Linked DNA regions of Sus scrofa. The protein of the gene in region 6 interacts with the protein of the main gene of each other region in a pairwise test. Links are inferred from orthologs where the notes say so. Each region holds a gene or a part of one and is shown on either strand. Other genes may lie near its edges. The genes, in order: HDAC4, KANSL1, TCHP, C8H4orf46, CHIC2 and CDR2.

The links.
Region 1: the proteins of CDR2 (region 6) and HDAC4 interact in binary tests that used the Homo sapiens proteins (3 or more experiments, as listed by UniProt). The two-hybrid records come from large-scale screens. The link is inferred for Sus scrofa from reciprocal best matches to the Homo sapiens genes CDR2 and HDAC4.
Region 2: the proteins of CDR2 (region 6) and KANSL1 interact in binary tests that used the Homo sapiens proteins (3 or more experiments, as listed by UniProt). The two-hybrid records come from large-scale screens. The link is inferred for Sus scrofa from reciprocal best matches to the Homo sapiens genes CDR2 and KANSL1.
Region 3: the proteins of CDR2 (region 6) and TCHP interact in binary tests that used the Homo sapiens proteins (3 or more experiments, as listed by UniProt). The two-hybrid records come from large-scale screens. The link is inferred for Sus scrofa from reciprocal best matches to the Homo sapiens genes CDR2 and TCHP.
Region 4: the proteins of CDR2 (region 6) and C8H4orf46 interact in binary tests that used the Homo sapiens proteins (3 or more experiments, as listed by UniProt). The two-hybrid records come from large-scale screens. The link is inferred for Sus scrofa from reciprocal best matches to the Homo sapiens genes CDR2 and C4orf46.
Region 5: the proteins of CDR2 (region 6) and CHIC2 interact in binary tests that used the Homo sapiens proteins (3 or more experiments, as listed by UniProt). The link is inferred for Sus scrofa from reciprocal best matches to the Homo sapiens genes CDR2 and CHIC2.

The regions. Positions count from the first base shown.
Region 1 is NC_010457.5:138,433,520-138,438,032, forward strand, and holds part of HDAC4 (histone deacetylase 4), read right to left. Parts: intron 2,091-4,513; coding exon 1,974-2,090; intron 1,772-1,973; coding exon 1,576-1,771; intron 1-1,575. UniProt on the Homo sapiens protein: Responsible for the deacetylation of lysine residues on the N-terminal part of the core histones (H2A, H2B, H3 and H4).
Region 2 is NC_010454.4:17,092,958-17,097,771, forward strand, and holds the end of KANSL1 (KAT8 regulatory NSL complex subunit 1), read left to right. Parts: intron 1-488; coding exon 489-546; intron 547-735; coding exon 736-848; intron 849-1,621; coding exon 1,622-1,874; intron 1,875-2,173; coding exon 2,174-2,401; 3' UTR 2,402-3,955; downstream 3,956-4,814. UniProt on the Homo sapiens protein: Non-catalytic component of the NSL histone acetyltransferase complex, a multiprotein complex that mediates histone H4 acetylation at 'Lys-5'- and 'Lys-8' (H4K5ac and H4K8ac) at transcription start sites and promotes transcription initiation.
Region 3 is NC_010456.5:41,070,651-41,075,163, reverse strand, and holds part of TCHP (trichoplein keratin filament-binding protein), read left to right. Parts: intron 1-515; coding exon 516-726; intron 727-1,289; coding exon 1,290-1,346; intron 1,347-2,919; coding exon 2,920-2,988; intron 2,989-3,652; coding exon 3,653-3,826; intron 3,827-4,513. UniProt on the Homo sapiens protein: Tumor suppressor which has the ability to inhibit cell growth and be pro-apoptotic during cell stress. Inhibits cell growth in bladder and prostate cancer cells by a down-regulation of HSPB1 by inhibiting its phosphorylation.
Region 4 is NC_010450.4:47,605,214-47,610,488, forward strand, and holds the start of C8H4orf46 (renal cancer differentiation gene 1 protein), read right to left. Parts: upstream 3,337-5,275; 5' UTR 3,118-3,336; coding exon 2,935-3,117; intron 1,703-2,934; coding exon 1,547-1,702; 3' UTR 1-1,546. Other genes in the region: ETFDH (electron transfer flavoprotein-ubiquinone oxidoreductase, mitochondrial), read left to right, coding at 3,727-3,760.
Region 5 is NC_010450.4:40,822,017-40,826,529, forward strand, and holds part of CHIC2 (cysteine-rich hydrophobic domain-containing protein 2), read right to left. Parts: intron 3,234-4,513; coding exon 3,179-3,233; intron 3,037-3,178; coding exon 2,881-3,036; intron 1-2,880.
Region 6 is NC_010445.4:23,827,535-23,832,047, reverse strand, and holds part of CDR2 (cerebellar degeneration-related protein 2), read right to left. Parts: coding exon 4,493-4,513; intron 874-4,492; coding exon 9-873; 3' UTR 1-8.

The DNA.
Region 1 (4,513 bases), on a different chromosome or scaffold from region 6:
CCAGCCTGGGGAGGACTAGAGCGAGCAGCAAACACAGCTTCTTTCGGCCCTGAGCGTCCGGCCTGGGCCCGCTGCTTGGAGACTCGACCTGGGACCATTTCAGGGCCCCCTGCTCCTTTCAGGGGAAGATTCCAGTCTGTCGAGGGCGTCCCAGAGCTTCTGACACCGAGGATGCACAAGCCGCTCTGAGCAGGCGGCGCGTGGACCCAGGACCCCGCACCTTCCCCAGCAGGGACCCGCTGCCAGGCATTTGGGAAAGGACCTGGGTTCTAGCTCTGACACCGTCTGTCCACAGAGACCATCACCAACAGGCAGGGCTGTGGGCCGACCCCTCGGGAACCTCAGAGAACCCGCCAGAGCAAACCCGTGCTGAGTGACCCTCCCTGGCCCTGCTCAGACACCCCGCCTGGCACATGGTCCAGTCGCAGAGACATCTGTGCACCCACCACGCACCAACTGCTGCGTGGGGGGGAGGGAGGAGGTGGCCAGGGTGCAGACGAGACGGAGCATGAGAAGCTGCACTGCGGCAGCAGGACCAGGAGGAAGGCCGGGGCTCCTGGCGGGAGGTGGGTGCATGCAAGCCGGACCCAGTGCCGAGAGGGCTCTGAGAAGAGGGTGCTTCCAGAGGGCCCGTGTCGGCCCCCCGCCCAAGGGAGCCTCGTACCCTGTGTGGAGAGGAGGCACTGGGAGGCCGGGCAGGTGGCTGCCTGCTCAGGGCTGCAGCTTCCCTCCAGGCCAGGCTGCCCAGCAGAGCCTTCTGTGTGGAAGGTACGTTCCACGTGCCTACCGCCCCACGGCCGGCAGCCAAGGGAGCGTTTTCTAGGTCACACGTGGGCCTGAACCAATTTTCCCTGTGCTCTTAATTTGGAACTGAAATGTGAACGGCCACCCTGGATGGTGCTGCTCTGGACCCCGGAGGGCCCCTGAGTGGAGCTGGAGGACGCAGTGGGAGTGAAACTGCATGCAAGGGGCCTTCCCGCAAGAAAGACCCAGGATCAGGGTGGGGGTGGGGGCAGGGGGGTGGCCCGAGACCCCAGGAAGGACAGGCGGGGGCGGGGGAGGGACAGAGTGAGGTTGAAGGCCAAGCCCCGTAAAACTAAGAGCAACCACATGGACTGTAGGCACAGACGGCCGAGGAGGGCTCAGGGTCAGGGCTGCCCCGTGGCTACTCGGACTCGGTCAACCCCCAAAACCCGGGGGAGGCCGAGCACCACAGACGGGGCCTGGCCGTGGGATGGAGGCTTCCTCGCCTCCAGGGAGCCCATGGGCTCCATCACCGGAGTAATGCTTTTCCCTGCTGCGGGCCCTTCTAATACAACCGTCCCTTAGGGCGCATGTCAGGTGACTTCACTGAGAGAGACGGACCGCCCAGCAGAGCCGACTCGGCTGCATGGAGCGGCTGGCGCATCAGGGCGGCCGACCCGCTCGACTCCATGCACCTGCCACGCAGGTGGACGCGGTCTAAGGAGCCACCGCCTCGCGTGAGGGGGTGTGCACAGCAGTGCTGGGGGCCGTCTCACCAGCCCCCTTGAAGCCCACAACTGCCCACCCCAGCGGGGCCTGGAGGGCACTCACCTGTGACCAGGGGTGTCTGCGCGGCCGGCTGCTCCAGGAGGACCATGTGCTGCAGGAGAGGGTTGTGGGCCGTCCCCGCGTCCCGGTCCAGGGGAGCCGCGCTCAGGTAGGGGGAGAGGTGGGTGCCGGGGAAGAGGTGGATGCGCTGCTGGAGGGCGGGGAGGGTGAGCCTCTCGGCTTCCTGCTGGCCCGCCGCCTGGGGAGGCAGAGCGGGACGGGGGCCGTCAGGGCGACAACGTCCCCCACCCCCGCAGGCCCGTGGGCAAGCCGCTGGGCTTCCTGCTGGCCCACTGCCCCCTGGGGAGGCAGAATGGGATGGGGGGTGGGGGGAGCCAGGGGTGGGCCAGTGATAGCACCGCCCCCCCGCCAACCCCGCAGACCCGTGGGTGCCTACTTACCGTGGAAGGGCCGGTGGCGGGAAGCCCCAGCGTGATGTTGGGCAAAGACGGGGACGTGTAGAGGGGGAGGGGGCCCACGGAGCCTTCCCGAGTCACGAGCCTGTGAGCCAAGCTGGTCTGCGGACAGAGCACACGGCCGTCACACAGCCTGCAGGCCAGGCCTGCGGTCCCCTGAACAAAGCTGTCTTGACAAGTGACAGCAGCGAGACAGACGCGGCCGTCCACAGCATTAGAACCTGATTCACGATCCGTCACACTCTTGCTTGTTTTTAGTTAACTTGCTCATTCGCACTAAAGCTACCAGACTAAATCCAGGAGAGTATGTTTAAAAATATGTTCTGAGAGCTGGGAATGTCCTTCCAAACAAAACACGAGAGGTAGGAACGAGAGAGGAAAATGATGAATAAAAACAATCCCCTCACATAAAAGGCAAATAGTGCTGACGACAAGGCTGGCAATGGATAGTACAGACAGAGGCCAATATATAAAGAGCACACAGATCAAACAACAATTCATGAGGAAGGACAAAGAAGAACCAACATGGAGAAAAAACTCAGGAAAGAAAATTCAGCACCATCCTGTAATCTAAAGACCTATCAAAAAATCTAAAAATGTATTTTAAAATTGATCATGTTGGCAAAGGTTTTTTGAAAATGACGACAGCATCGTGATCGAGGGAGTTGGAAACACGCTGCCGGGTGGACGGTAAATGGGTGCCTTCCTTCTGCAGGACGATTCGGCGCTCCTTGTCAAAAGCCTTAAAACAGACCCAATCTTTGCTCCGAGACCCCTCCCCTCCACGCTGAGGGTGTCCTCTTAGGAAGTAAAGCTAGAGGAATTTGAGGATCTTATTTACCACGTGGGGCTAAGCAGCAGCCCCGAGGACCTGCACCACTGTGGCATTTCACATCGTCTTGCTTCTAGAAGGCATGTCCTTTGCTAAGAGGACACTGTCTCATTCACACCATCTCCTCCCCTCGGTAGGGACCAAGAGCACACAGTCACAACCACGAGCCGAGCAACAGCAGGTGGTGTGTGTGCCCTGACGTCGGCGGGGGGTCGCGGAAAGTCACCTTCGTGATGGACAGGTCACCAAGTCTCTCCTAGTTCTTCCCCCAAAGGATTTTTTAATTAAGGATGAGAAACACCTGGGTGCTCAAAAATTTCATTTGCAAGATAAAAATGTGCAGATGCGTGAGCTGAAAGGGATGACAGGTTCCCGTAAGCCATGACGGAAGGTCTACCGCGCAGCTAGAAAGCGCTCCCCCCCTGCCCCCCATCCCCGGGAAGGCAGACCCTTCCCCCGCCCCCGGCGGGGCGCAGGCATTCCCTGCCTTGCTGGGTGGCTCAACGGTGTCACACGCTGCACCTGATAAACTGTCCTCATGCCACCCCGGCAACGCAGGAAGGACCGTGTCCTCACTTGGGAGGAAGTTTAGCTGCAGGAAGGTGGCTGCAGCAAAGGCTTTAGGCTTTAGGTTTTTCACATAGTAACACAGTAATGATTCAAGGGCGCCTTAAAAAATGGCCTCTTTCCGGGTTAAAAACAAGCAGCAAGCTGTGCTTCAGAGGAAGCGGCTCAGAGTGCCAAGGAGGGCAGGAGGGCTCCGGACTGTGATGCCCAGGAACCAAAGCCACGGACATGCCAAGTCTGCAAAGCCATCACTTCCTCTTGCATCTCATTCACATCTAGAAATGGGAGTCCCCATCATGGCTCAGCGGTGAGCAAAGCCGACTAGCACCCACGAGGACATGGGTTCGATCCCTGGCCTCGCTCAGTGGGTTAAAGATCCCGCGTTGCCGTTAGCTGTGGATCATATGTGCTGTGGCTGCGGTGTAGGCGGGTGGCTGCAGCTCCAATTCGACCCCTAGCCTGGGAACCTCCATATGCCGTGGGTACGGCCCTAAAAAGACAAAAAGACCAAAAATAAAATAAAATAAAATAAATAAATGAAGCAGCCCTCTGCTTCATGGTCAGGTGCTGGCCGTGTCCATCGGCCCTACCACTCGCTCCCACTGGAAAGTCCAGGGCCAGGTCAGCGCCCACCACCAGCCTCCAAATCACACTTGGCTTTCTGCATGGAACGAAGCGCCCCCACGGAGGAGGCCATCCCTGGGTGGGGGAGCCCTGCTTCCTCTGGGGTGGAGGCGCTGAGCTTCCCTCGGTCCCGCAGTGAAAGGGGTGCAGGCAGCTCCGTGCCCCCCATCTCCGCAGGAGCAGCCTGGCTTCCTGGGCCCGGAGCTCTCACCAAACTGCCCAATCCTAACACGTCTCAAAATCCACAATCCAACTGAGATCAAATGTTCAGAGGCTGCCCCTGCGATTACAATGAAAAGCTCAGTGAAACACGGAAACCGCACTCTTCCCACCTCCTGGGATTCCTTTCGCATCTTCCATCAATTTGCAGGAGCTTAATTCACGTTAACATGGGATTTGTAAAAACTCACGCATAAGTTAAACCAGCATCCACCCGCATAAGCCCTCTCTACGTACGGGCCATTAGGTACCTAACAGCCCCTTTTAAGCAAAAGCAGGATCC
Region 2 (4,814 bases), on a different chromosome or scaffold from region 6:
CTTCTGTCTTCTCCTTGAGAGAAGGTCCACCTGATTAGAGTGAAATTATTTCTGTAGATAATTCTCTCCCATTATATGAGCACCAGCCAGACCTCAGGCCACAAACTGGCTATGGTCATGTTTTGTTTGACATATACAAGTGTCTTTTAAAATACGGAATTTGTCGTCAGCATCAAAGCAAGGTTTCACATATGAGTCTTTATTTCCAGCTTTTGTTGTCAGATTCAAAGATTGGGCAGCCCTGTATGTGCATTCCCCTATGGGAGCATCAGCTGGACCCCTCAGCTTCCCAGCTCTCATCTCACCCTCGGCCTGCTGCCCCTGTTCGTGGGCATTTGAGTGTGGAGCCTCTTGTAGAGGCCTCCAGGGCTGAGAAGGCCCAGCATAGAGGGGTGTCACTTGCAGGCGGAGGGCTCTCACTCTTACACAAATGTATCCTGCCCCAAACTGCCTGCCACCTCACGGTTGTCCCTTTCTGGTTTTTGCAGCTGGCGGGAGGTCGATCTTCGGTCTCTGAAGGGGAGTCCTGATGAGGAGAACGAGGAGGTAAGGGTGTGGTCCTTCCCTCTGGGAGGAGCACACACTGCAGATGCCTCAGGACCTGTGGCATCAAGTGCAAGCTCACTGTATTCCTGCTGTGACCAGGAAGAGCCTGCTGTGGGGTGGGGCGGCTTCTAGAATTGACCTACCCACACTTCTGGAGGAAAGAGGGGCTCAATGAATGCTCTTTTGCAGATCGAGGACCTTTCTGACGCAGCCTTTGCCGCCCTGCATGCCAAATGTGAGGAGATGGAGAGGGCTCGGTGGCTGTGGACCACGAGTGTGCCACCCCAGCGGCGGGGCAGCAGGTGATGGGGCAGGCACAGGCCCCTAGGACCTGTGGAGGGAGGGTCAACAGGGAGTTTGGGCCCTAGCTGTGTCCATGGAAGGCCACTGCCCTTAGTTGCCCTTCGTATTCGTTCACTGGGGATAGCCAAGAATGCAGAAGTTCCTGGGTGTTTGTTGGAACCAACGAGGGTATACGCAGTCAAGTACTGGACTCTGGTTGAGTGGTTACTGTCCAGTTCTAACAAACCCTAGTGATCTCCTGGGCTCCAGGAAAAGGGCTGTCTGTGGCATTGGAGACCTCACCACAGGTTAGCCTTCCTCTGGACATTGCAGTGAGGTTTTATGATCCTACTTGGAAGAACTGTTCCACTCTGTCTCCCTTTATTGTTAACACCAAGAAGCCCCAAGATTCTCAAGCAGAAAGATTTTAAGGCTCTTGTTCTTGTGTTTTTCTTTGCCTACAGTTTTCAAAGTTGGGGCTAATTCCCCTTCCCCAGTGAGTCTCCTGGGCAGTGTGCCAGGGGTCAGCCCCCAGCACAGTTGAGCCCTGGCTTTCTCACAGGATGATAGCTGTACACAACTATTAGATGTCATGTGGTGTACCTGCCCCCTGCTCAGTGGTGGGAAGAAGTGAGGGTATTTGTGGTTCCTAGGAAAGAACTGTAGTCAGTCTCCCTCAGCTCCCCAGATCCTGGTCAGGGATGCTTTTTCATGCTTCCTCCCCAACCCCCCAAAATAAACATAAGAAACTCATATTACCCAGACACTCAAATTCAGATTTCTTGGTGTACAGGTCTTACAGGTCATCAGACGGTCGAACCACCCCCCAGCTGGGCAGTGCCAATCCCTCCACCCCCCAGCCTGCCTCCCCTGATGTCAGCAGTAGCCACTCTTTGTCGGAGTTCTCTCACGGTCAGTCCCCCAGGAGCCCCATTAGCCCGGAACTGCACTCGGCCCCCCTCACTCCTGTGGCTCGGGACACTCTACGACACCTGGCCAGCGAAGACACCCGATGCTCCACACCGGAGCTGGGGCTGGATGAACAGGTAAGGCACCCGCCTTTCTGTGGGATTGGTGGGGCGCAGGTGGAATTGGGGGACAGCACCTGCTCAAGATGCAGCTTCATTTTATGGGCACCCTCCCCCCACCCCGCGCTCATTTTGAAGGGGACAAGGGGCTGTTGTATATGAAATCCACCCATTGTTAAAGGGTGCCCACTCTGCACATCCTTCCTCGACCAGCCCAGGAACTCTGGAGAGACTGGCCGTGGATCCCAGTCCACATGACTTGGGGCAGGAGGCAGGCGGGGACTGGGTCCTCACCAGAGCGTCTTGTCTGCCCACAGTCTGTCCAGCCATGGGAGCGGCGAACCTTCCCCCTGGCGTACAGTCCCCAGGCAGAGTGTGAGGACCAACTGGATGCACAGGAACGGGCGTCCCGCTGCACTCGGCGCACCTCAGGCAGCAAGACTGGCCGGGAGACAGAGGGGGCGCCCACCTCGCCTCCCGTCGTTCCCCTCAAGAGTCGGCATCTGGCGGCAACAGTCACAGCTCAGCGTCCAGCTCACAGATGAGTGGGATCCGAGCATCTAAACAGACTCACAAACTATTGGCATTAAAGCTTCAGAAATCTCTGCGTTTGATATTCAAACATCATATGCCGAAAATTTTCACAGTTTTTAGTGAATTTAAGGAATTTAGATTCTACTTTTTTTTCCCTTGTTTTGATTTTTGTTTTTGTTTTGGTTTCCATGTTTTATCGTCACACACCTGAGCACTTCCTCCAGTTGGCAAACAGAAGTTCAGGATGAGACCTTGCTGACCGGGTCCTGGCGTCCTCTGCACTGTTGAACCACTGGACTTGGCCGTGTTGGATGATCACCCCTCTCCCTTGCACCTGTGGGCAGGGTGGGACAGCCAGGTAGGCAGAGGGAAAGGAACCGCCAGCTCAGCACGGCCACCTCGGGTGAGGCTGGGAGAGAACAGCGTGTTCTGGGCCCTTCCCCTTCCCCTCTGTGGCTTGGCTCAGCTGTGGCCTCCCGGCGGGGTCCCCTTGGTCGTCGGCGCTGGAGCGCCCCTACCAGAGCCTCTTGGCCCAAACTGCCAACTGTTCTCACCCAGGTCTCAGCTGACAGAATGGCTTCCCCTTGTCACCCAGATCTTGGAGACCTACTGGGTTTCCTCTGCATTTGGTCATCCCTGTTTTGACTCCTTACCTGCAGTAACCTGGCTGCGGCCACTCAGGTTCTCAGTCCTGCCCCTTGGTGCCCTCTCGTCTGCTCCCTCACTCTGCACACCCACCCATACACGCCAGTCCTTCCCCATCTGGTCTCTGGAGGTAGGGTTAGGACTGTTTAACCTCTCTTCCCACACCTCTGCAGATGCTGGGGGTCTGGGACATGAGCAGCCGTCTCCCCTGTACAATTCTGTTTTCTCTGACCGAGTCATTTGGTCGTATTTCCTCCCCATCCAGTTCCCTGTCAGAGTCAATCAGGCCCTTCTTCTTTCGAGCTCCTTTGCCTGTGGAACACTGTCTGGTCCTACTGTGGTTCCCATCACTCCCCACCCCCCACCCCCCCAGGTTAACCTTGTGCCTGTCTCATGAATGATCACATCACCAAAAAGGGGGGCAAGAAGGACTTTTTTTTTTTTTTTTCCATTTTGTAATCGTATAAAAATAGTAGACAAACTGCTTAATGGTCGGGGTTTTTTCACAATTTTCAACATTAGTGATTTTTTTTTTTTTTTGATTCTGTTTGCAAGTTAAAGGTTTGTCATTGTTTCTTTAAAAAACAATAATGCACCATATCCCTATGCATAAAGTGCTTCTTCTATTTATAAGGTTGAAAATTCTGAATAACCCTTTTAGCATTGTAAAAAAAAAACCAAAAAAAAACAAAAAAACAAAAATGGAAAAAAAAAACCCTTGTATTTTGTAAATATTTTCTTTTCCTGCTTTGAGCTGTGTATTGGCAGCGGAACATGTAGCTGTCTTTGTTCTATAGAAATGCTTTTCTTCAGAGAAGCTGATCTTTGTTAATGTCTTGATTCTGTTCGCAAAGCACAGACTAGTGCTTAAAAAAAAGTAAGGAAAAATTGAAAAAAATAATAAAAAAAAAGTTACAGAATGTGGTATACCAGGCCTTTCTTGACGCTGGACATGTAATGGGGGTGGCTGAGGAGCCAGCCCTGCTGAAACAGTTCTCTAGGTCCTCTGACTTGCTCTGAACCTTAGCACCTGTCCATTCTATCTTCTGGGCACCTGCTCAGAGCCTGTCTCCATTCTTTCTTCTGGGCATCTGGCAGGGTCTTCTCGTGGTCACCAGAGGGAGGATGTGGTTTTCGTGGCGGGGGCTGGGGGTTAGGTAAGGGATGCCAGGAGGAAGGGGGGGGTCTTTGTAAATCATCTGTTTTCCTTTTTGTTGGATGAAAGTAATTGATCCATTGCTCTTAATCTCACTTGCTCTAGTGAGGCTAGCACTGTAACATTTTTATCTATTCTATATTGTTCTTTAATGGAGATCTCACTTTCCACCATTGACCTCTTCTGGGGTTGAGGTCAATGAGGATGTATATATTTTGCATGGAGCCTGAGCTGGTTCTCAGCATCTTTCTCCTGCGGAGGCTAAGTGCTTGATTTTCTTTGCACAAGATGAGTAAGTGAGCAGGTCTGGTTCTCTCTTTACTTCCTTTTTTCCTTTTCATGGCAGTGGAAGTGAAGCAGCCAGTGAGGCTGCCCATCCTGGCCATGAAAGCTATGAGTTGTGAGGTAACATTTCTGTTTGGCTGCCCTGTTGCTGCTTCTGAAATTGCAGTTAGGATCTGTTCTACTTTCATTTCTGCCTGCAGTGCCTGAAGGACATGAGGAAGAGCTGAGAAAAGTAACATTTTGAAACTGTTCATAAAAAATCAAAGGACTCAGTGTTACAACCTTGACCTAATTACTAAGGAACAATAATTAATATGGCTTTTTTATTTGTAGCATCA
Region 3 (4,513 bases), on a different chromosome or scaffold from region 6:
ATTCAACCCTTAGCCTGGGAACCTCCATATGCTGTGGGTACAACCTTGAAAAGACAAAAGACAAAAAAACAAAACAAAACAACAACATAGGCTTTGGAGTCAGACAGACCTAGATAGAAATCCTGACTGTCACTTGCTATATGAATGAACCTCAGTTTCCTCATCAGTGAAGTGGGACTAAAACAGAACCTACTTTACAGGATTTGTGTGATGATTCGTATAAAATTGTCTGGGTTAATATAAAACCTGGTACATGGTATTGCTCAAATATTAGCTAGTCCCTTTAGCACATGCATATGTAAGCTCACTATACATTTTCTTCTTGCAAAAATAAGATTCTATAATGTCTAGTGTTCTGTCACCTGCTCTCTTTCCTTTGGCCAGAGGGCACCTTCCTGGGTCACCCCATTCTGTTGGCTTTAGCCTCTTTCACCCCCCACGTTGAGCTGCGCCTTACCCTTCCCCGTGTGGCTGTGGCACGACTGACTGACTGCTGGTGGCCCCTTCTCGCCCAGCATGCATGCCTACCAGCGGGAGAAGATGAAGGAGGAGGGGAGAAAGCGTCTGGAAGCCAGACGGCAGAGACTCAGACAGCTTCTGCTGGAGGAGCAGGACCTGCTAGTCAGAGAACTAGAGGAACTGAGGCTGAGCATGAACTTGAGGGAAAGGAGAATCCGGGAGCGGCATGGGAATCTGAAGTCGGCCCGAGAAGAGCAAAGGAAACTGGTAACTTTGAGAAACTCTTTAGGAGGCTTCAGAGCAGGAGTCACAGTGAGACCATGTGGGGTCACCTGATAAGAGCTCGTTCCAGAGCCAGCCAAGAGAAGTGCTTGCTCTGAGTTCTTCTTCATGTGTGTTTCCTACGAGACATCTCTATTCTCTTTGGCCCCTTAAACTGTTAGGTCTGAGTCCTTTTTCTTTATGCCAGTTTTGTGGTCCCACAAAGGGCTTGGACTGGTGTATTTTATCCTCCACAGTAGTCGTGTGTTGTGGTAAGCCCAATCTCTGTTTAGTTTGAAACAGATCTTTAGCATCTAGGACCCATCTGCAGCATCAGATTTGGGCCCCCTTTGGCCACCCTGTAAGAGTCACTTGTCAGGGCCCTGCAGTTCCAGGCAGTGTCTGGTTTCCAGCACTGTGGGCACAAGGCACGTGGGAGGTCTGCAGGGCGGTGCAGTGCTGGCGCCAGTAGGGCACTCTTACCTGAGTTGACTTCCACATGGGTTATCCGAAATGTGAATGGATTGGAAAAATGACATCAGGCCTCCCGCTTTGTATTTCCTTGACAGATTGCTGAACAACTTCTGTATGAACACTGGAAAAAGAACAACCCCCAACTTCGAGAGGTGAAAACTGAGGAGCCCCTTCCATTGATTTGCCTAAGTCAATGAAATCATGTTTCCTGTCTTGTTTTTTTTTTTGTTTGTTTGTTTTTGTTTTTTGTCTTTTGTCTTTTTAGGGCCGCACTTGTAGCATATGGAGGTTCCCTGGCTAGGGGCCAGTCGGAGCTGTAGCTGCTGGCCTGTGTCACAGCAATGCAGGATCCCAGCTTCGTTTGCGACCTACACCACAGCTCATGGCAATGCCAGATCCTTAACCCACTGAGCAAGGCCAGGGATCAAACCCAAAACCTCATGGTTCCTAGTCCGGTTCGTTTCCACTGCACCACGACAGGAGCTCCCCACCTTGTTTTTAAACTTGCGTTTTGTGCTGGAGTGAGACAAAACCCTCCAGCCACCTTGAGCTACAAGTGGCTGAGAGGCTGGGACGTCAGACAGGGAGGGTGAACCCCAAGAACTGAGTCTCATGCTGGGTAGGCAGACAGGGCCACCACAGATGGCCTTGTGTGTCCTTCCTCTGGGAGCGTTGGGGAGGGTCTGCATGATTTTAAATGGGTCCAGCTGCATTTTGGAGAACAGCAGCTTTGGCAGCACTGTTGAGGTGGGCCAGAAGGGGTGATATCAATTGAAGGATTGCTGCCACAGCCCAGGTGAGTGATGTGAAGGCCAGAACTGAGGTGGCAGGAGAAAGGGGGACAGAGGCACAGACCTCAGTGCAAGGAGAGGGAGGCGTTTAGGTTTGGGTGACAGCACTCAGCAGAGACTGGGCTAGAGAGAAACAATCCCATGATGAAGATTAGTTTATTTCAGCTTAGTTTGTGTGTATGTTTGGTGGTATTAACTTATAAAGCATAACTACATTTAAAAATTGCCAGTCACAGGTAATAGAATGTTCTGGAGTATTGTATGGTTAGCACTACGCCACAGAGGACTCCTCTCCCCGTGGCTTATAGATTAAAGCAGAACCTCCAAAGTCATGTACTCAAAGTTTATTCAAAACATTCAAGTTAGTTGCAAATGTTTCCATCTATAAGAAATAAATTTAAAACTTTTATAAACAATTTCTCAAAACAAGAGCTTTCAGACAGTGTTGTTTCCTGATTCAAAAGATTCTTTAAACCCAAATCTCTTATTAATAACCCTGAATTTGTTGCATCTCTTGCTTCAGAGCGTGCATGTTTTTACAGCTGCTGCTTTGCAGAGGGAGTGCTGGGGAGCCAGGCCAAGGGTTGAGCCTGCTCCTCACCCAGCTCCTGCTGCCCTGGGGCCTGGCAAGCTTTAGACCAACTGGGGTGGCCTTTGAGATTGAATTTCCATTTCATTGCCTACTGACCCGGTCCTGCTCAGCCCCAAGGGTACTGGGAAAAAAGTTTCTGCTACTTTGTTCCAGTTCTTGAGATGATTTACAAGTGCCTGGCCCTTTGGCTTTCTGATTCACTTGCATTCAACTGTATGTCAGGGTCACCGTGCAATTCCTTATAAAGACACCTGGCCATAACCAGAGCTGTGCTATGCTTGAATATCTCTCTGTCTGATGAACCAGTGGGGACGTTCATATTCTCCACATTCTCATCCTCAGATTGAACTGGACCTTCACAAGAAGCATGTGATAAACTCTTGGGAAATGCAGAAAGAGGAAAAAAAACAGGTATGGTATGTGGTGGGAGACTGTCTCCATGTCTTTGAATTTGTTTCTTGTTTTCAATGTTAATGATTCCAATCCAGGAATAGACTTTTCCTTGTTTACTTAACACATGTTAAAACTGAATATTTGTTGCTCTTACACAAACTAGACTCGTCTGTGGTCACTCCCAGAGGCAGAGTAAGACCAAGTGACCAGGACTGGCTGATGGTAGATGCAACATGCATCCTTGAGGGTTGTTTTTGTTGCTGGTGCCCTATTTTCATGTAGTTTACATCCTAAATTCTCAGACGTGGTTTACAGCAGCACCCCTGGGGATGAAAGTCCACTCTTCCATGGACCCACCGCTTTATCTTGGGGTTCGTTCTGGAAGGTGTTTTGTTGACGTGTGGAAAGGGAGGAACCCTGGCATCCTTGTGCCAGGCACCAAGCCAAAAGCCTCCCAGCTTCATCCCTGAGGACGGCACCACTCCCACGGTTCCCACAGTGAGAACCGAGCTCAGGAAGACACCCTTGCCTGGGCCACACAGCTAAGGGTATAGCCTCCTTGGGTGTAGATGTGCAGAATGAGGAGCAGGCCCTGAGGCCTGCTGATTGGTGGGTGGGGAGCTGGGTCTTTGCTGACTCTGTGCTGTAGACCCTGACCCCGGGTTCCTTTGGCTCTGTGCAGCAAGAAGCCGCTGAAGAGGAAAAGGAAAAACGATATGAAAATGAATACGAAAGGGCCCGACGGGAAGCGCTAGCACGGATGAAGGCTGAAGAGGAAAGGAGGCAGCTGGAGGGTAAACTGCAGGCGGAGGCGCTGCGCCAGCAGATGGAGGAGCTGAAGGTGAAGGAGATGGAGGTGAGGGTGAGCCCGGCTGCCAGAGCCTCCTCGCAGCTGCTTGCTGTTATGAAACAGACATTTAAAAAGCTGTGCTAAGCAGAGATTGTATCAGGGAGATGATTCTAAGAAGTGGAACAGTGCTGGGTCCTCCCTTCAGACATGCATTCCTGTTGCTGGCTCTTCAACACTCCTGGCTTGTGGGCCCAAATTAGTACCTGTCCTCTCAGAGTGGCTGAGAGACCTGCTATCTGTGAGCCTCCTTAGAACTTGGATTTTAAGTGTACAAAGTGAACTTGACCCAGGCTAGCAGCTTTTGGTCTCAAGGCACCAAACCATGAGGATCTTTGGTCCAGGAGGATGTTTTGAGAATACTGGGCAGAGCTGCTCAGAGGGGCTGGATCTTCCCATTCAGGCAAGTATAGCACCCCCCCCCCTTCCCCAGGCCTGAGTGATTCAAGAACCAGACCTTATTCTAGGTGCCAAGCACTGGGATATGGCTAGGAGCACAGCCCACCATCCTGGCCTTCATGACGGGCACTGTGTCAGACAGGGGAGAGAGATGTTAATTTATAGTAAGGCATGGGTGGTGCAGGGTCCTATGGGAGCACAGGAAAGGGGGCTTAGCATCATTGGCAGGGTTGGGAAAGGCCTAGCTGGGCTGCATGGTGCACTGGGCCCAGGGGGCTGAGTCCTGGACGTGGGAGG
Region 4 (5,275 bases), on a different chromosome or scaffold from region 6:
GACAATTAAAACAGAACAATGTTATTAAGGTCAAACAATGTGAAAACAATTACATCATATAAATTTTATGCATTTGGGAGTTCCATTTTGGCACAGCAAAAATGAATCCGACTTAGTAACCTTGAGGTTGTGGTTTGATCTCTGGCCTCGCTCAGTGGGTTAAGGATCCAGTGTTGCTGTGAGCTGTGCTGTAGCTTGCAGATGCTGCTCCGATCTGGCGTTGGTGTGGCTGTGGAACAGGCTGACAGCTGAACCTCCGATTTGAACCCTAGCCTAGGAACCTCCATATGCCTTGGGTGTGGCCCTAAAAAGCAAAATAAAATAAAATAAAAATAAAAATAAATTTGACGCATTTAAAAAAGTAACTTGTTTAGTTTTAATTAACTATTACATTTAGAATTTAGGATTATGGAGTTCCCGTCGTGGTGCAGTGGTTAACGAATCCGACTAAGAACCATGAGGTTGAAGGTTCGATCCCTGCCCTTGCTCAGTGGGTTAATGATCCGGCGTTGCCGTGAGCTGTGGTGTAGGTCGCAGACGCGGCTCGGATCTGGTGTTGCTGTGGCTGTGGTGTAGGCCGGTGGCTACAGCTCCGATTCGACCCCTAGTTTGGGAACCTCCATATGCCGCGGGAGCGGCCCAAGAAATGGCAAGACAAAAAAAAAAAAAAAGAAAGAATTTAGGATTATTACTTGTAAAGCTCCAAAAGTAATAATACACAGCCATAATTCTGATAAGGCACTTTTAAAAGAGCAACCAAACATATAACAACATTGTATACAAGAAATTTCTGTAAAATCAGTTAACCTTAGAAATAAATAGGGGAAAAAATGTGCATTCTTTCAAGTCAAGTTTCATTTTCTTTTTTGAAAATCCATCAGAGAAGGGCAAAAAAATTTGTATTTTAAAAAGATGTTACTAGTTAAAGTTCAAATCCCTGTTAAAAAAGAGAGCAATAATGTTAATGTTTTTCTCCAAGTTAATGAGGTTCTGACTCAAATATTTCTTCAAGAAAAATTTATAATCTTCATGCTAAAAACAGGGAGAAAACGCTGCTTTTAACTGTATTGTCACTGAACATTTAGTGATTATTGTATAACAATGTTCTAGGTGCTGAAAATACAGAATTAAATAAGACACAATAACTGGTTCTACGGAAATTAGCCAAATAGAGCTGAGTCAAACAGTGATAAACCTTAAAGTCATCTCCTTTGTTCCAAAAAAATGAGGCTCAACTTCAAACTCTGCCATGCTTGGTATCTTCTTGCAAATCAAACAAATGGTCTATCTAGTTTGTGACTGGTAACACTGTGGCATTATATTATCTACTGATTGAATTAACTTTCATAAAAGATTGTGTGAAAGTTTAGCAGACATTAAGTATTTAAAGATAAATACTAGTCAGCATCAAAAATAACATTCTATTTTCACAAAATGAAGAAAACCAAGCAAAATTTCATTTTCATTTCACAGAACTGCTGGATTATCCTATCCATATGGTACATCTGCAAATATCGTGAGAACACATGGACTATTACATGGCAAGTCAGTTGTCAGCCTTCAAGGAATCATAGCCTTCTCTCAAGAGGTCCCGCCATGTTTTAAGGAAACGTGCATTTTCTGTACATTTGAAGGCAAGCTCTTCCACTTGAGCTGATACTGCAGATGTGGCTTCGAGAAGTTTGGTTAAGGAAAATGCTGCCTGAAATTTAAAAAAAAAAAAAAAGTCAAACAATATAAGTTGTTTTTTTTTTAATTTTCACCTCATTTTACAAACCAGTCTGAAAATAACAGAACCTCAAATCTGATGCCTCAAATTTAAAGTTATCTTCTTTAAAAGTTAAAAAAAAAATCTTAGAACTAAAATACTGGCTCTTTCAGGGAACCAAAGAAATTCGTTAATATGAAGTAAGCTTTGAGGAAGTAAGATGTGCTAGAAAGATATCCATTATGCATGAGAAATGACCAGTCGATACTTTTTTATTTACAAATCACTAGTCTGATTTAGCTCAACAGGAGACTTGGATCCCTTGACACAAAGTATCAGAAGGAGCTGAAAGACTCCATAAATAACGCTTAATACATGGGTAACAAGGGCATGGCTCCACTATTTTTACCCATGAACGCTGTAGACTATGAAAATGTATAGTCCAAAGAAGAGATGCTCTCAGCTTACAAATAACATCAACAAAATCAAAACAGGTGCAGTAGACAATCATCCCTTGGTGGAAAACTCCTTGATCAAATGCTTTCTTCGCCCACTACATGAAATAGCACTGTTCCTGGATAACACATCAGCACTCCATCCTACAGGGTCACTTGGAAGGAGCGGTGGGCGGAGGCGGGGGAACGAGAGACAGAGACAGAGAGACAGAGACAGAGAGTGTGTGTGTGCTCATGCGCTCCAGTAGCTGGGCGCCTGGAAATTGGAGATTCAACAGAAACCATCCAGACTAGGCATGCCAAGTGCTCAGAGGGAGAGGTCTTTGAACCGTTAGTGAAAGGAATCTGCACCATGGGGTGGTGACTAACCCGTCCTAATTGGATCTAGCGCACAGGACGGTGGGACAGATAATATCTGTCAGCTGACTCTGGGCAGGTGGCCAACTAGGACAGCAGTCCTTAAGTCCCCGGGTAAGAAATCACAGCCTGACCCTCAGCACCCAAGGACAGCAAAGGCGAAGGTGGGGGCGAATGAGATCTGTGTGGTTTCGGGTTACAGCGCGTGTTGGAAACCAGATGGCCAGGCACAAAGAAAACCGGGCGGGGCGGGGCGGGTGGAGGGACACCCCAATTCCCAACGCCTCAACTGGTACACCACATGGGGGAAGGGGCCTTGGGCGGCGTCGGACCCCCACCCTTCCTCACCAGCCCCCCTAGCTGGGCGCGGACCCCGTCCCTCCGGCCCCTCCCGGCCCCGCAGGCCACACCCACGTCTCCGATCTGCAGCTCCACCTCCTCCAGGGGGTCCACTGTCCGGCCGCTGCTCCTGCTTGGAACCGGCCATCCCAAACTCCCCGGGACGCCTGGGGAAGATGCTGAAGATGAGTTTGAAGAGGGAGAGGAGGGAGGCGGCGGGGGAGGCGAAGAAACCAGCAGCTCCTCAGGGTCCTCCATGGAGCCGGGCTGGGCGGCGGGACCGGACTTTGACAGCCGAACCGACACCAACTGTCTTTCAACCGCTCGCGCCCAAAGTCCAGCGACCCCGCCTCCTCTAGTCTCTCGGCGGTGGACCGCGAAGCCCAGTCATTTTCTCCGGACAGCCAATCAGAAACCAGTTAATTCGCCTTGGGCGGCTCTTCACTCCTGCGCAAACCCCCAGTCGGGCAACCTGGACTGTTGAGCCGAAGACTACAACTCCTAGAGTTCCGCGCACCGCCCCGCCTCCGCTTCTTGGCGCCAAGCGCGTTGCACCCTGGGATTTGTAGTCTTCGCTGGTGTCCTCTGCTTGCCCCGGGTGGAAGGGTTCCCTACCCTCTCCGTCTTGGTCTGTGACCCAGAAGTCCTACGGGCAGTCATATCGCGCGTGGCGCAGGCGCACAGCAAGAAAGAGGCGGCAGTACGGTGAAGCCAGAGTGGCCGGCTGAGTAGGGAGGCTGACTCCGCCTGAGACTTCAGTTGTCCCGGCGGGGATGGCGCCCCCCGCGGCCTAGTGGTCCCGTGCCCGGGCGAGCCCCAGCCGGGCCTCCTCCCTCGCTGTACGCCGGGGTCCCGGCTGCCGAGAGCATGATGGTGCCGCTGGCCAAGCTGGCCAGCCCAGGTGAGGAGGGGTCTGCGGGCGCGGGGAGCAAAGTCGAGGGTCTACGAGGGGCGCGCGGGACCACCGCTGGGGGGTGGAACTAGTTCAGAGCAAAGGGCGCAGGGTCGCCGCTGGGTTCCTCCCCTGGGCTTGTCTCAATTGGAAGAGTTGACAACTAGGACATAGGTCATGAATGCAGTGAACTTGTCAACACGGCTCCTGAGCGGAATCTCTCCAAGTCCTGGTGCAGACTCTTATCCCAAGCTCAGGTAATGTCTGTTGCCTTGTTGCAAATGAGTAAATTAACATTTGCACAGATTTTTTTTCCTTGGTCCTCACCTTACTTGTGTATTTGCAGTCATCCTACCCCATTTTAAGAATTCGAAGTCTAGGAGTTCCCTTCGTGGCTCAGTGGTTAACGAATCCGACTAGGAACCATGAGGTTGTGGGTTCGATCCCTGGTCTTGCTCAGTGGGTTAAGGATCCGGCGTTGCCGTGAGCTGTGGTGTAGGTCACAGACGCGGCTGGGATCTGGCGTTGCTGTGGCTCTGGCGTAGGCCGGCGGCTTCAGCTCTGATTAGACCCCTAACCTGGGAACCTCCATATGCCGGGGTGCAGCCCTAAAATAGACAAAAAAGAAAAAAAAAAAAGAATTCGAAGTCTAATGTGGCACATCATCATTAACATGTGTATGCTGCCTGAGTCATCAGACTATCTGGAGCCAGGAATTTTTCTACGTTGTCTAAAATTAACTCTAGGGGCTTATGGTGTTCTGTTTGCCCCTAGAACCATCCTGATGACTTGGTAAAATACCTCATTACCTCCTCTTTTTTTTTAAAAAAAAAAAAAAAAGTAGGATGCAGTTGGGTGGTTTGGGGGATTTTTTTGGAGGGGGTGGTTTATTTAAAAACAAAAGGTTTAAAGTTCAAAAAGTGTACTACAGGATCTTGAATTCTCTCACAACTGGTTTTTAATTTTTATTTAAATTAATTTTGGAGAGTTCCCATGGTGGCTCAGATGTAATGAATCTGACTAGTATTCATGAAGACACAGGTTTGATCCCTGTCCTAGATCAGTGGGTTAAGGATCAAGTGTTGGCATGAGCTGTGGTGTAGGTCACAGACGCGGCTCAGATCTGGTGTTGCTGTGGCTGTGGTGTAGGCCAGCAGCTACAGCTCTGATTTGACCTCTAGCCTGGAAACTTCCATATGCTGCAGATGTGGCCCTAAAAAAACTAAAAAAAGGAGTTCCCATCGTGGCGCAGTGGTTAATGAACCTGACTAGGAACCATGAGGTTTCAGGTTCGATCCCTGGTCTTGCTCAGTGGGTTAAAGGATCTGGCGTTGCCGTGAGCTGCAGTGTAGGTTGGAGACGCAGCTTGGATCCTGTGCTGCTGTAGCTCTGGCGTAGGCTGGTGGCCACAGCTCTGATTTGACCCCTAGCCTGGGAACCTCCACATGCTGTGGGAGCAAAAAAAAAAAAGCTAAAAAAAATTAAAATTAATTAATTTTTAGTTATGGAATAAATAAGTGTACA
Region 5 (4,513 bases), on a different chromosome or scaffold from region 6:
GAAAATGCTAAGCTGCAAACAGAGTTTGCCTTTGGTCCTGATTTGCCTTAGAGTCTGAGACAATTCTAACTGTATAAGAGGATTCCACATCACAAATGAGGACAAAAGAGACGTTCAGAAGCTTGCAATCTGGCAGGGTTTTAGCTTTTATTTATCCCACTACCTCTAAATCAAGGGTTCTTAACATGAAATATCTAGGTAGAATTCTAGGAGTCCGGGAAAATGGAGAGAATAAAAATTCATCTTTAATTTCACTAACCTCTAACTGAAATGTTGTATATTTCCTTAGATTATGAATGTATGCAACTAACCGGTAGATTAAACAGGACCTGTATCTTTAACATTCATAGAAATCATAGATTTTTCCTATCACATCATATTACCATGCGATCCCCTGCATGCATTGATAAAGAATTATCTAGGGAGTTCCCGCTGCACCACAGTGGGTTAGGAATCTGACTGCAGCAGCTCAGGTTCAATCCCTGAGCCCGGGACAGGGGGTTATAGACTCCAGGGTTGCAGCAGCTGCAGCATAGGTCACAACTGTGGCTTAGATTCAGTCCCTGGCCTGGGATCTTCCATTTTCCGTGGGTGCAGCCATTAAAAAAAAAAAAGAAAAAATATTTATAAATCATATATTTGAGGGGTGTTAGAATTTTGATAACTATATAATTGATTTCCTTTATAATCCTATGTATTTGATTTTACAAATTTAATATATACTAAGCCTCTCCAAATCAAATAAAAAACATTATTCTAAGAAAGGGTTCATAGGCTTTCCCAGACTATCGAAGGGTCTACAACAAATAAAAGGTCAACCCTGCTCTAAATTATCCTGCCCCATCTTACAAAGCACTCCTTTTTTCAGGGCCTCTAACGCCCTTCATACCTGCATGTAGAGTTACTCTCTCCAATGATTTAATAGTTTACATCCAAGACAGGTAAAGGCAGGTTTTTAAGCAGTAACTGCATTTGTTTACGCTCACTGGATGGTAAAGTCTATATAAAATTAAATCATATATACACACACACACACACAAAGAGAGACTTTAGTGTAATATTACAAAGTTGAATGAAATGTACTTTCTGAAACCACAGACTGAAATAAGCTAAAAAAAGTCAATATACTTTATGTCTCAAATAAAAAGGAATTTAATGAAAGCATCTGAAAAATGATCTTATTACCAAGAAAGTGTGGAGAAGGGCAGGAAGTTTATTTTTGTTTTCTACATCCAACACTGTGCACACATTTTAACATCTTGTTTACTCATTTAAAAAGCAAAAAACGGAGTTCCCGTCGTGGCGCAGTGGTTAACGAATCCAACTAGGAACCATGAGGTTGCGGGTTCGATCCCTGCCCTTGCTCAGTGGGTTAATGATCCGGCATTGCCGTGACCTGTGGTGTAGGTTGCAGACGCGGCTCGGATCCTGCGTTGCTATGGCTCTGGCATAGGCTGGTGGCTACAGCTCCAATTAGACCCCTAGCCTGGGAACCTCCATATGTCGCGGGAGCAGGCCAAGAAATGCCAAAAAGACAAAAAATAAATAAATAAAAATAAATAAAAATAAAAAGTAAAAAAACAGGATCTCAAAACCTTCAGAAACAAAAATAACTATATCGCAAAGGTTTCTACAGTAATAAAACTTTGATTCTTTGGGTTAAATAATAGTAAGCTGCCAAGCAAGTGAGACTCAGCAATCATTTAAACAATGGAAATGCCTGAACAGTAGAAGCGAGTGAAGGGACCTAAACTACAAAGAGCTACAAATGCAACAGAAACCAGATTTTAAAAAAACTATGGTAGGAAGATCATCTGCTGAGAACTATGGGAAAAAAGAAATATTCTTGGAATATAAAAAAGTAAATATTACAAATATTACAATAAATATTACAAAATTATATTACAGAGGCAATTATCTACTTCCTATCAATAAAATGCACTAGTTAAAATTTGTTTCCAGTAGAAATATACATCCTGTTTTATAACAAAGAACAAACATAAGCTTTCTTTTCCATATTTCCTGTTATTACTGGATGATAAAATGAAATGTAGTCACACAAACTATTCACTCAATTTCAACATAATGGTAGTTCATTTTTATACATATAACTACCATTTAATTTTTAAAGCTTTTTAACAAAAATATAACACATTCAATCTATACTAATTTGCCATACCTTTACCCAGATCTTGGAAATTTCCTACTATAAAAAGTCAAAACTATTACTCTTTAGATCATTTTTATGATTACAGGATTAGTATGTATTCAGCAAAACTTGTAAAATACAAAAAAAAAAAAATTCTTTAAATAAGAAAACAGAATTCTCCACAATCTCACCAATTACAAATAAGCATTATCAGATTTTATTTCTTCCATTGGTACTGAAATATCAGTAATAACGTTTTAATCAATATGCATTAGGTTCTTACTTTGAACTATTTAGCTAAAAGCTTTACAAACTATTTGATCTTATCCTTACAACAGTCCTATTCAAGTAGGGAGGTAAATACTGTCATTTTACAGATATGTTAACTAGTTGAAAGAGGTTAAGAAACCTGCCTATGATCACATAGGTAAGTGGTATACCCGAGCCCAACATTTTCAATCACTAATTATACCATAATGTAGAGAGAGCATGCTGTATTCCATCCTGACATAATGTGTTGTATCATAAGAATCATAACTATAATTTTTAGATAGCTATTTCATATAACATCATGTGGACATAACTTAATCATTCCTCTACTGGATCAAATTATTTTTCTATGGTATTCAGAATAGTGTGACTCATTCAAAACAAAAAAATAAAAACCAGATAAGTGCAAGATCTGACATGTCTACTTCTAAATTTAAATTAAAATATATAATTCAACTTACTCTTTTACTGAGGCAAATAACTGGCCACATACTGCAACCTAATGTGCAGCAGCAACAAAGGCAGCCACAAAGTAGCCAACGTACATTAACAGGAAGGTTCTTCTTAAGACAACTGTTAACTCTGTTGATGCTGGCTTTAAATTCTTCAGGAGCTACCTAAAGAAGAATTTTAAGAAATAACACTGCAATATTAATGTGAATAAATATGTCTCATTAGCATAATTTTTTCTAATTTGTTAGGAAAAGACTTCAGTTCTAAGGCATAAAAACAATACCTAAATAACCAACAGATACTCACTTTTCCAGTTAAAGAAGAAGGGAATTCTGATTCAAATTTGTTGCTCAGTCCAAATCTGTTTTTAAAAAAGGAGAAAAATGTTATTATTACATGTCATTGTTGCAAAGATAGACTATTTATCTTAATCAAAGGTCAAGTAAATAGAGTGCAACTTTATATACAGAATAACAAAGTTTGAGACATAAACTTAATTAGCAATTTATGAAATGTAACAAGCAATTTTAGCAGCTGAACCAAAGCTTTTATATAAGAGGCTGAGACTGCAGAAAAATATGACTTCTTCGGAACTATCTTTGTAAGCCAAATATTAATGTAATAGAAAACAACACAACTGCCCAATTTTGTCAAAATTACTAAGATTCTTTCAGGAGTTCCCGTCATGGCTCAGTGGTTAACGAATCCGACTAGGGACCATAAGATTGTGGGTTCGATCCCTGGCCTTGCTCAGTGGGTTGGGGATCCAGCATTGCCGTGAGCTGTGGTGTAGGTCACAGACACAGCTAGGATCCTGCGTTGCTGTGGCTCTGGCGTAGGCTGGCAGCTACAGCTCCAATTAGACCCCTAGCCTGGGAACCTTATATGCCGCAGGAGGTTTGCCTCAGGGTGGCCAAAAAAGAAAAAGCGGTTGATTTAATTTGAGCTACTGCCTATACCTTAAAAACTAACTTCAAAGCATATTATTTTAAAAGATGACTTTATTCCTAGCTTTAAATGTTACTGATGGAGATAGGCAATGGTTGTGAATTTGAACAAGTGTCCTTGGTACACCTAAGCAATAAAAGCAGGAGAAGAAAAAAATGTAGGGCAAAGTTGAAAAAGAGTAGAGAAAACAAGGAGAGAAGAAATGGAAGAAAAAAAAAAAAAAGGTAAGGATTGGCAAAGTACTACCAACAACTGTCCTATCTGGTCACCACTCAATACCTACTGTCAGTCCATTCAATATCTGAAAGAAAATGTAGACACGTGCTACATCTATCTCTCTTCCTGTTACCTAAAAGCTCTTGTCCCAAATCACTGTTAAAATATTCGTGGCTTTGGAATTGATAAAAGATTTAAACTATTTTCAAAGAATAGCAAATATAACAAGATAAAACACATTAAACTTAACCTATTGTACTGTTACCTAGTATAAGTTTACAAGTCTACTAATATTTGGAGAAAAAGAGAATTCATTCGAATCAAACTACTGAGCAACTTTTATGTAATGCTTCATGATCACAAGGTCCTACAGCAGAAGGTTTATACAAAATTTTTTGGAGTCCCTTCATGGCTCAGTGGAAACAAACCTGATTAGCATCCATGAGGATGCAGGTTTGATTCCTGGCCTCACTCAGT
Region 6 (4,513 bases):
AGGTCCGCTTAGGAATGAGAAGAGAGAGATCGGTATTTTGTTCTCTGTTCGTCTATTTCCTGCTTAGTTTTCTTGATGCAACTGAAGATCTCCTTAAAAAGCGCTTTGTATTCTGGGGGCGTCGAGGCGGTGGGGGAAGCCATGGGCTCTGGGGTGACAGAGGCCGGTTCCCAGCCGCTGGTGCCGGGCTCGGGCTGGGCGCCGACAGCAGCCAGCTCCTTGGCCGGAGCCCTGGAGGTCTGCACGGCCTTGTGGGACAGGGAGTCCTCGTCCTGCTGGCACTTCTTCAGCAGCTCCTCGTACTTCACCTTCAGGGCGCTGTACTGCGTGTCCACCTCGTGCAGCAGGGAGACGCCCCTCTGCTTTACCGCCTTGGCCCTCCGGATGCAGGTCTCCTCGTGGCCCTTCACGATGTCGCCGCCTGCCAGGCTGCTCAGCACAGTCTCGCTGCTGCTGCGCTTGAGGGGCTTCCTGGGCGCCTCGGGCGGGGTCAGCAGCATCTCCTCCAGCAGGCTCTGGCTGGGCTCCCTGAAAGGGGCAAAGAGCGAGTCCGGCACCAGCTTCTCCACCCCGTTCACGAAAGGATGCTCGGACTGCAGCATCTGCCGCATCTCGGCCACCTCGGCCTCCAGCTCCAGCGCCCGGGCTCGGTAGGTGTCCGTGGCCCCCAGCTGCCGCTCCAGGTCGCGGTTCTCCTTCAGCACCAGCCCGAACTCCTCCTCCATGGTCACTCGCTTCTGCCGCTCCAGGCTCAGCTGGGCCTGCAGCATTGTCACCGTTTTCTTCAAATGCTCGTTTTCTTCTTCATCGGGGCTTTGCCGACTTTGTAAGGAAGTGATCTGCTCGGCAAACACGTGATCGTACACGAAGTGCCTGGGGAAGATGTTTAAAGACTCTGTTAACGCAGGAATGCAAAGAGGGAGGCTGATGATTTTTTCCAACTATCTATTTTTGAGGAGCTGTGATGCAACTGATTTTTTTTTGCCTACTCCATGCTAGAGCAATGGTTACAAGGAATGTGTGAGGCTGGCAAATAAACACGTGAGAAAATATAGCTTTTGTGACCGATATTTTTTTAAACATTAAAAATACTACAGGAGGAATTCCCGTCGTGGCGCAGTGGTTAACGAACCTGACTAGGAACCATGAGGTTGCAGGTTCGATCCCTGGCCTTGCTCAGTGGGTTAAGGATCCTGCGTTGCTGTGGCTCTGGCATAGGCCGGTGGCTGCAGCTCCGATTAGAGCCCTAGCCTGGGAATCTCCATATGCCGCAGGAGCGGCCCTAGAAAAGGCAAAAAACAAGACAAACAAACAAACAAAAAATACTACAGGAGTTCCCATTGTAACTCAGCAGGTGACGAATCCAGCTAGTATCCGTGAGGATGCAGGTTTGAGTCCTGGCCTGCTCAGTGGGTTAAGGATCTGGCGTTGCCGTGAGCTGTGGTATAGGCTGCAGAAGCAGCTTGGATACTTGTTGCTGTTGCTGTGGCACAGGCCAACAGCTGCAGCTCCAATATGAGCCCTAGCTTAGGAACTTCCATGCGCCTCGGATGCAGCCCAAAAAACAACAACAAAAAAACACTACAGAACATCCATTCCCAGAGAATAGCAGGATCACTGATACTGGTCAAGGAAATTAGCACGGCCCAGTGGTGCTCGGCCTTGGCCGCAGCCTAGAATCACCTGGGCAGTCAAGAGAAAACTACTGATGCCTGGCTCCCATCCCATAGATTCCGACCTAGCTGGTCTGCCTAGATGTGGGTCTCTCTCTCTTTTTTTTTTTTTTTTGCCATTTCTTGGGCTGCTCCCGAGGCATATGGAGCTTCCCAGGCTAGGGGTGTAACTGGAGCTGTAGCCACCGGCCTACACCACAGCCACAGCAACGCAGGATCCGAGCGAGCCGGGTCTGCAACCTACACCACAGCTCATGGCAATGCCAGATCCTTAACCCACTGAGCAAGGCCAAGGATAGAACCTGCAACCTCATGGTTCCTAGTCGAACTCGTTAACCACTGAGCCACGACAGGAACTCCAAGACGTGGGTCTTTCTTAAGCTCTTCATGTGATTCATAATATGCAGCTAAGTTTGAGAACCACTGCTGCAGTGATTTTTAACCAGGAACAGATGTCAGAATCACCTGGGGCAGCCTTTTATTCCCACTTAGAGATTCTGATTTAGGCCAGAGGGAGTCAAAATGATCTTGCAGTTTGAAAAACTCATGGGACCTAATCAAACTTACAAGCTTTTGCACAGCAAAGGAAACCATAAAAAAAAAAAAAAAAAAAAAAAAAAAAAAGACAAACTACAGAATGGGAGAAAATAGTTGCAAATGATGCAACTGACAAGGGCTTCACTTCCAAAATATACAAACAACTCATACAACAGCAAAAAACCAAACAACCCAATTGAAAAATGGGCAGAAGACCTGAATAGACATTTCTCCAAAGAACATATACAGATGGCCCACAGGCACGTGAAAAAAGCTCACTAAAACATCACTAATTATTAGAGAAATGCAAATCAAAACTACAGTGGGTGCCATTCACATCAGTCAGAGTGGCTATCATCAAATCAATAAGTCTACAAATAACAAATGCCGGAGAGGGTGTGAAGAAAAGGGAACCCTCCTACACTGTTAATGGGAACGTAAATTGGTACAACCACTACGGAGAACAGCATGGAGGTTCCTCAGAAAACTAAATGTAACACTAGCATATGACCCAGCAATCCCACTCCTGGGCATATATCCAGACAAAGCTTTCACTCAAAAAGACATATGCACCCGCAGGTTCACTGCAGCACTATTCACAATAGCCAGGACATGGAAACAACCTAAATGTCCATCGACAGATGAATGGATTAAGAAGGTGTGGTACATATACACAATGGAATACTACTCAGCTGTAAAAAAGAACAAAACCATGCCATTTGCAGCAACATGGATGGAACTAGAGATTCTCATACTAGGTGAAGTCAGTCAGAAAGCAAAAGACAAATACTGTATGACAGCACATACCTGGAATCTAATATGTGGCACAAATGAACCTATCTACCGATAAGAAACAAACTCATGGACATGGAGAACAGACTTGTGGTTGCCAAGGGGGAGAGGGAGGGAGTGGGATGGACTGAGAGTTTGGGGTTGGTAGAAGCAAACTATTGCATTTGGAGTGGATAAGCCATGAGATCCTGCTGTAAAGCACAGAGGAACTGTATCTAGTCCCTTGTGATGGAACATGATGGAGGATAATGTGAGAAAAAGAATGTCTATTATAACTGAGTCACTCTGCTGTATAGTAGAAATTGACAGAACACTGTAAATCAACTATAATTTAAAAATTAAAAAAAAAAAGAAAAACTGCACAGGGTAATCTGATGAATAAGGCTGCGGACCACCGAATGCACGAGCTGGCCTCTCTCTGGTTCAGGGTCCTAGACAACTTGGAACTGTACTTTATGTGTGTGATTATCTGCTTCTCTGCTTCTCCACGGGACTGAACTGTCTGTCTTGCTCACCACTCCACATACCTGCCTTGTGACAGGGGCTCCAGAAATATCTATTAAATAAAGACTCAATCTCATAACTCTTAAGTTGTAAACACAACTCTGCAGGCCAAAAAAGAACCTCTTCTATGGGCCTGCATTTTTGTTTTACTGCAATTTCCATTTTTTTCTTCACTGACATGTGAAATACAACCTCCAAATCTGTAGTCTATCAGAAGCACTGCACCTTCTTGTAAATTAAAATTTAACAAGTTAAAAGCACTGAACTAAGGAGATCCTGTTGTGGCGCAGTGGTTAATGAATCCGACTAGGGACCATGAGGTTGCGGGTTCGGTCCCTGGCCTCGCTCAGTGGGTTAAGGATCCGGCGTTGCCGTGAGCTGTGGTGTAGGTTGCAGACGCAGCTGGGATCCCGCGTTGCTGTGGCTCTGGTGTAGGCCAGCGGCTACAGCTCCGATTCGACCCCTAGCCTGGGAACCTCCATATGCCACGGGAGTGGCCCCAAAAAGACAAAAAAAAAAAAGCACTGAACTAAATACTCCCAAGTTTTTAAAAAATCAGTTTTCACAGAATTACTAATACCCAAGAACTCTATCATTTGTATGTTTGTTTTTAATTTTTGTCTTTCGTCTTTTTAGGGCCACACCCGCAGCACATGGAGGTTCCCAGGCTAGGGGTCAAATCAGAGCTGTAGCTGCTGGCTTACATCATAGTTCACGCCAACGCTGGATCCTCAACCCACGGAGCAAGGCCAGGGATCGAACCCGAAACCTCATGGTTCCTAGTCAGATTCGTTTCCTCTGCGCCACAGCAGGAACTCCCATAGGCTTTGTATGTTTAAATTCAGTGGTTTTGTTCAAAGCAGTGGTGATCTACTAGCCAAGTGGCACTTCCTAAAAGGGTCCTTTTAATGGACTGGAGACCAGAACGTGTCAGGACACAAGATGCTCCCCTGCTTGCAGTGGCCACGGGAAAGGGGGGCTCTTACTGGCGGAGGTCATACAGCTCT